Oreochromis niloticus: one gene and its partner. The protein of the gene in region 2 purifies or fractionates together with the protein of the main gene of each other region. This does not show direct contact. Links are inferred from orthologs where the notes say so. Each region holds a gene or a part of one and is shown on either strand. Other genes may lie near its edges.

The links. Proteins that work in one complex are often made in the same cells at the same time.
Region 1: the proteins of casp9 (region 2) and dcc purify together in Homo sapiens (co-immunoprecipitation; 3 studies listed by BioGRID and IntAct, with this or other methods). This does not show direct contact. The link is inferred for Oreochromis niloticus from reciprocal best matches to the Homo sapiens genes CASP9 and DCC.

Annotation. Positions count from the first base shown.
Region 1 is NC_031972.2:34,114,121-34,117,872, forward strand, and holds the start of dcc (netrin receptor DCC), read right to left. Parts: upstream 2,648-3,752; 5' UTR 2,185-2,647; coding exon 2,058-2,184; intron 1-2,057. UniProt on the Homo sapiens protein: Receptor for netrin required for axon guidance. Mediates axon attraction of neuronal growth cones in the developing nervous system upon ligand binding. Its association with UNC5 proteins may trigger signaling for axon repulsion.
Region 2 is NC_031984.2:26,304,338-26,308,089, reverse strand, and holds the start of casp9 (caspase-9), read right to left. Parts: upstream 2,759-3,752; 5' UTR 2,556-2,758; coding exon 2,424-2,555; intron 2,304-2,423; coding exon 2,093-2,303; intron 1,987-2,092; coding exon 1,921-1,986; intron 1,844-1,920; coding exon 1,785-1,843; intron 1,695-1,784; coding exon 1,518-1,694; intron 1,438-1,517; coding exon 1,348-1,437; intron 1,115-1,347; coding exon 967-1,114; intron 888-966; coding exon 699-887; intron 610-698; coding exon 500-609; intron 401-499; coding exon 296-400; 3' UTR 1-295. Other genes in the region: dnaJ homolog subfamily C member 16, read left to right, coding at 3,546-3,718. UniProt on the Homo sapiens protein: Involved in the activation cascade of caspases responsible for apoptosis execution. Binding of caspase-9 to Apaf-1 leads to activation of the protease which then cleaves and activates effector caspases caspase-3 (CASP3) or caspase-7 (CASP7).

The sequences.
Region 1 (3,752 bases), on a different chromosome or scaffold from region 2:
TCAGTGAAACCACCTACTGAGACGACTGGCTGGACTAAAAACAGGCAGATTCACCTGTGAAAGTGAGCAGGACCTGCTTCAGCTGTGCAGGAGATTTTCTGAATTGGTGTGTAGGAAGGTTTTGCGAGTCAGGCGTTCGTGTGTGGGTGCGTGTGTGTGTTTAGCCTCCCCACAGATAAATGCTTGGTGTGGGTAAAATATTCAGAAGATTTTATGGCTGAGCTGTTGAAGAAATATCAGCAACACACAAATAAACACACGCACACTCTGAGTCAGAGCTGCTCAGCTGATCCAGCAGCTACATTGTGTGTGTGTGTCTGTGTGAATGTGTACTCTCATATCATCAATTAGCTTAATTAAAGTGTTTGGACATAATTTATTGACAGCAGGAGGTTGAGAGAGAGAGAGAGCGAGAGAGCCCGAGTCCAGCAGCTCTCTCTGATCTGTTTGGTTTTGCAGTGTTTGCTCTTTTGCTTTTATGATTTTCATTATTGAACAAAGATTAAATTAAAAATTCACTCAAATGAGCTGCTTACAACAAGATGTGTGACAGATCTAGTTGTAATACAATTTATTTATTTAGATTACGTATTGTATCTTCACTAATAAACACCAGAAGAAAGAAGGAGGGTGTTACACTGATGGGTTGGACATGTTAGGATATCTGATGGCACTTAGTGTTTAAGTGATATTCATGACAGTGTGCTGCTTCCTAGTCAAAGCCAGACCTAGATAGCACCTCCCTGCACAGCAGCATTCGTACTATTTGCATTTTTGGGGCAATAATACAGTGAAATCTAGAAGATCACTGTTTGGATTATGATCCTGCTTTAAGGCTTGAAACTCGATTTTTTTTATCTAGCTGTTATTTATTTATTAATTGTCTGTCTCGTTGGATTTCTGTTTTTGTTTTTCATAGATCACTTCCTTTTGGGATTATTAAAGTAGTCACTCCAATCAATCATTAGTGTAAGCCGGAACGAATGGACATTAAGGTAAACACAAATAATCCTCCACTAAAAAGATTCACTGCAGTCTGCTTGTCCCACTTGGTTTCATATACAGATAGACTGCCAGAGAGGAAAACCTGGAAAAAGCAGATCAGAGCCAGCAGCCCAACATGCCACTGGCTTGTAAACTTAATCATATCAGGTGAAACTAAACCAGAGAGGAGGGGGAAAAAAGATTCAGTCAAAGCCACAGGCTAGCACATGATCAGACTCTAAGAAACTAGCTAAGGCCCAGTAAAAACTATTTACACTCAGTGCAACCTGGTAAAATTATATGTATATATAGCTATGTATATATATTTATATTAATTAGTTAAATCTAAATATCAGGGACAAATTGGTAAAGAGATGCATATGCAGTTAAAAATACACACCAATATGATCCAGCAGCCTAAACTTCAGCACTATGAAATGAAGGTGAAACAGACTTACAAAGAGCAATTTAAAATTAAGCATAGTAATAACTGAAAATTTAGGTAATTGAAGAAAATCCGGTGCAGACAAGGGATTGTAGGTAAAAAAAACAAAAAAAAAAAACACAAAAACACACAGACAGTCTAACCCAGCTGCAAAGATCCAGAAAGGTTTAACAAACCCTCAGTCAGCCAACAGATCAGCCACATGAAACACACAAGAACCGAGGGAAGGACCAGCAGTCTCACAGCTACTGCAGTAACTCGGTTACTGGAGCTTATAATGAAGGTAAAAATGGAACATAAGTAATAACAAAGACATAATAATAATAATTTTAAAAAAAACTAGAAACCTCTTAGGCAACATTGATCACATGCTGAAGCTTGTCAAACCTTCCAGGGCCTCAGAACACATACAGGAACCCGCATGGTCAGACCCGAGTCCACCCGGGTCAGAACAGAGGCTCTAAAGCCAAAAGGGACGCGCAACAAATGTGCCAATTATCGTTAGGTCTGCGGCACCCAGCAAAGGCACACGCACACTCACACACACACTCTGAGCCCGCACGGACACTCACGCACAAACACACACTGCGGGATGGAGGCAGCAATCATGCATGTCCCCCCCACTCACCGTGCGCTGTGGTGTGAGCAGCCAGCAGCCAGCAGAGCACCAGCAGGTACAGTCCTCCTGTTCTCCTCCTCCTCAGCACCAGCACCTCCCAAACATCACCGGTACATCCAACCAAAACCAGCTCCATGCTGCCCTGCTCCAGTCCCGATGAGTCCGTGGAAGCACAGAAACACACACACACACACAATCCCGCTGTTCTTTCAGTGTTTTTTTGTTTTTGTTTTTAAATCCTCAACAGAATCCAACAGTTAATTAAGAAAATAAAAAATAAAGGAGAAAAAACCCACAGTGTGTTGAGTCAAGAGGATGGTGAGGAGAGAGAAAGAGAGGGGGTAAAACAGCTTCTCTTCTCCCCAAAAATATCCCTGATCCCCAGTCGGGCTAGGATCCCCCAAAGAAAAGAAAAAGGGAAAGGAATTTCCAAAATACACAAATGCAGATCAGTTTCCTCCTTTTAGAGTCGAGAATAAGTTCCAGTAACTACAAGTGAAGAGTCTCCATCACTCCTGCTCGCTGCTGCTTCCCATTCACACAGATGAGAGGATGGTTAAAATCCACGCTGCCTTCCCGGAGGTCTGCTCCGTCTGCCGGGGAGGACTGATGGAGAGGGTCGGAAGAGGAGGGGGGGAGGCGGAGGGTGGAGGGAAAGAGTCGAACCCACTCTCTCTCTCTCTTTTCTCTGTAGGGCTATACAGCCGGAGAGAGAGAGGGTCGAGAGACCCTGTTGGAGTATGGAGCCATTGATCTAAAGAGGCTGGAGGTAAACCTCGGAGCGGGAGTAGAAGCAGGGAGCGGGACGGAGCGGGAGTTGGAACCCGGCGGAGGAGGCAGAACGGCGGGGAGAGATTAGCTGAACTCTCCTGCCCTCTCTGGTCACACAGGGAATATAAACATCAGTCACAGCTGGAAGAGAGTCTCCATCACTTCACAGGTATAAAATCATGATATGCATATTATTATTATTACTATGTGTATTTATGTCAAATAGACAACGTAACCCAGACTGATTCAAAGATATGGAAGTAAAATGCAGCCAAGAAAAGATGTTAAATGTAAGCTTATTTTCTACTGAGGAATGAATATTTATTAGTTTATATGTTTTGACCTTTAAAAAATTACATAGAAATTATAATTGGATTACATTTTATAATTATTATATATATGATTATACATATAATTATATTTATATATATATATATATATATATATATATATATATATATATATATATATATAGATATATATATGTGTGTGTGTGTGTGTGTGTGTGTGTGTAAAGGGAAATACTGTAAATGATCGTTAAGGTACATATACATTAAGCATTTATTTCCATGAATTTTCATGGTAATCACAGAAAACAAAAATCCTTCACATTTGAAAGGTTTTTCTTTAGTGTTGGAGTCCACATATCCATTACATGAAAAACAGGAGTGGCACGTATTGATCCCCAGTTGACCGGACCGGTGAAATTGCTCTTTCTGTTGGTTTAAATACACATGTCCTAACATAATAAAAAAGGAATGCAATTTCAACAGTGTTTCTTAGTTTTCCTCCATGCTAAAGAAATGCTGTTGTAAATGAGAGAAATGTGTCCGCACAAATCTTTGGGCATAAAATATAAGAAATAAATGTGTAAAATTACAGAAAAAGTTCTGGGTGGTCATTGTCCAGGCTGCCCTGTAATTATAAAACAGA
Region 2 (3,752 bases):
AGATTAAAGGTTCGCAGAGTGCATGGATTATCTTTCCTCGGTCAGCTGCTGTATCTGTGAAACAAAAATAACCTGAATAACATTTTCACAGTAATAGTTCTGTATTTTAAAAAGCTCATTTAGAAACCATCAGCCCTTAGAAAACACAGAGAGATATTAAAAATACAAGACGTGATCCATTCAGTTAAAGCAGATTCACAGCAGAGTCAGAAATCACACACACTGCAACTGTGCTGAAAAAGAAGTTATAGTGCTGTGAAATGTGGAACTGACACAGACTACCGCACTTGATCCATTATGTTTGGGTTTGAAAGTAGAGGAGTTTGCGGAGGAAGTTAAAGGAACCAGGCATTTGTTTGTAGAGCCCTTTTGCAGAGTTTTGGGAGACTTCATTGTTAACCTAAAACAGGAAGAGTCAATAATCAGACATCACTGTGTCTAAAGCCAATAGCTCTTAAAGTCCTCAGTTATTTTTGCTGATATATTAAGAGAAGCTCACCATCATCAACATTGTGACCAAGTCATCAGTGGCAGCGTTTTCCTCAAGTATATAGTCCAGTGTCTGGACGTACCACGAGCCCGCCTGAGTCTCTCGCCAAGAAACATAACCTGTATTGGTCACATGGCCAAAAAGGTATTAAGGACACATAGATCTGAAAGGCTGTTTTTGTTTAAAAGAAAAAAAACAAAACACGCACCTGGGAAAGTAGAGTAGGACACCAGGATGTCACTCGGAGTGGGCAGGCTGGGTCTGGCGTCCGGTTCATCAGACATGCTCAGGGAGTCACTGCTGGATGACATCGGAATAGCGTCCGTCTGGTCATCCATTCCACCAGAGGATGGTTCGACCTCATCGGGGGACACCTCGAAGCCCATGTCTCTCTCATCTTGGGGACAAACACAAGCTCATTTTTACACCTCACTTGTTCCTATGAATTTTTAAACCGTGCGTTCTGTGACAGCTACCTCCTCCACAGGCCTGGATGAAGAACAGTTTAGGTTTGCCTTGCAAAGATGGGCAATGCTGGCCATTGAGGTAGTTTGTGATAATCTGCACTGGTACGTACTGTCCGTCCACACCGTACACGGCACCAGGGAAGCGGTTGTGATTCACCTAAGGACAGAAATATTAGCAAAAATCATCTTACATGTCAGTCCAGTCAGATGTAGATCTCAGAAAATTGCCTTGCTGGAATAATGACATTTGCCAGTTAAATATTAAAACATTAACTGTAAAAATATTAAATCCTGTGTATTTCCAGAGTATTCCAGCTGATTATTCTGAAGGGATGCAATGTTTTTTTAATGAACTGTAAACAACATCACAATCAGCTCAGCACATCTTACCTCAGTGCCATGGGACAACATGATGACCACGCAGCAGTCATACTGGGAATGATCCTTCTTGGACAAAGTCAACAGCTCGTGTTTGATTTGCTGAAATGTGGAGTTAACCGTTAGGCCCGCAATCTTTAATACCCTTCAACACACACAGAGGCAGAAGACCCGATTCTTACTTTTTGTCTCAGGTTCGTCTTCACTTCCACAACAAAGTTGAGTGTCTTGAATCGTCTCTCCAGCTTTTCACAGTCTATGTTGGAGCCCTTGCGATTTTTCAGCATGCTGTGAGGTTCAAACTCCATGTTGTTTATGATGAGGCAATGACCACACGGGCTCGCATCCATTTTATAGCTCTAAGGCACAGAGACGCACAGAGTAAAAAGAAAACAGAGAAAGGGCCGTCACATAAACATGTAAGTGTGCAGCACAGAAATGGCGCTTACCTGAAGGCTGTCACGTCTTATTCTGCCTGGTCCTGGTCTTAACTGCCACCCGTCAGGCGCTGTGGCACACACATTAATAGACATTAAGCACAAATAAACTTACAAGACTGTTATTTAAATGGATCGCATAGCTTACTAGGAATAGGAGAGATACTTGGCTTTACAACATCTTTACTTGGATTGTCATCATCAACTGGAGAGGCTGTTAAAGAAACAAAGAACACACAGATGAGTCAAATTCTTATCATCTGAAAGTGTCTGGCTCTAAAGACTCTCACATTAAATATTCCATAATGAAATACACTTACGAATTGGAAGAGGCTGGATTACAGGGCGGACAACTTTAGTGGGTGTTGCAGGCTGCAGGGTAACAGCTGGAGCTCCATTCTGTAGGAGCTCTGCCAAACTCTCCTGCCCCGTCTCCTGAAGGCACTCCAGAAATAAGGGGAAAGCCCGACTCCCACGGGTTTCCAGGTCCCGGACTAACTGCCTGGCCTGGTCTCGTCTGGTCCCAGCGCTCTGATAATAGCAGACAGTCTTAATTGAGTACAATTATGAATTTTTTATACCCGCCCCGGGTCAAAAAAAAAAAAAAAAGAAAGAAAAAAAGGAAGAGAAAACCACAGTGTCATGACCGACCTGTATCTCATCGATCATGTCCTGGGTGAAAACTCCTTTTTCCAGAAGGCCATCATAGAGTTTTGATGGATCCAAGTCTGTCACCAGGTTAACCCTGTTCCGCTGAAGAATCTTCTTGTGTGTTTCATCCATTGTCCATTTAATGCTAACGTAATAGAGAAAAAAAAAATCTGTAACTAAAAATTTGTTATTTCGTTTTCGATCACGGTTAAATCTATGTCGTCAAAGGAGCACAATGATCTACTTCTTCGTAAAAGTGAAACGGGTACTTTGTTGTAGGAGTGTCGTTTACAGTTCGTATTTTCTTGTCGGTTTCACAAGCTATTTCCTTGTTTACATCAGCGTTGCCTGTGATTGGTCCACTTAAGGCGGATGAAGAAAAAAGGGAGGGTGTGTTAGATTTAATTTACCCCGCGTTCGTTTCCGCGCGGGTAGCGACCGATAGCCAGCTGAAGCTAAAATCGCGGTACGACGAGCATTAAACCAAACGCACAACTAAAAAGAAACGTAGCCTGTCGACAAAACACTCAATTTCCCGAAATGACTTTCGACACCGGACTCCACCCCCTTTTTCTACTCTCGCTCCAGCTTCGCAGCAGCAGCAGCAGGTTATCGGCTTGCCCTGGAGGATCTGTGGGATGCTGCTGAACACACCCTTTACATTTCGCTGTCGCTTCGAATCAGCGTTGAGCAAGAAGAGGCATTAATAAGGGGGCAAAACCTTCCCCCACTATGTGGCGTTGTACCGGCTGACTGCATCTGCTTCAGGTGACTATAAACGTGCAGATGTGGCGTTGAGACAACCGCTGTAGCAACGCCACTAACACTAAGGGTTTATCCTCGAGGAACACCGTTACTGTCACGGCCCTGTAACATGACACCATAATTATATATGATTTTCAGCTGCCGTATATCGCCTAGCTTGCTTGGGTGCTGTTGTTAGCATGCTGTAATACTGTTTTTAGCATATCGTGCCTGCCTTCACTGTTTCCCATCACCAGAAAGCTAATGGAGGGAAAGGTTTCTCGGATTTGCAAGCCATCTAAAATATAGGTCCTGAACATTTTTTGCCCACTTTAAATGAATGGTGATCGCTCCTCTGATGTGTTGAAGGTAACTGTGATGGCACGGTCAAAGCTGTCTCTGCCACTGGCCATTGTGGCGGTCCTCCATGTGCTGCTGGCGGGACTTGTCTACGCTGAGCCTGAGATGGACCCATACAAAATATTGGGAGTAACGAAGAGGGCAAGCCAGGCAGAGATCAAGAAGGTCTACAAGCGTCTTGCTAAAGAATGGTATTTCCTCACGACACTTCAGGCTTCAGGTTTT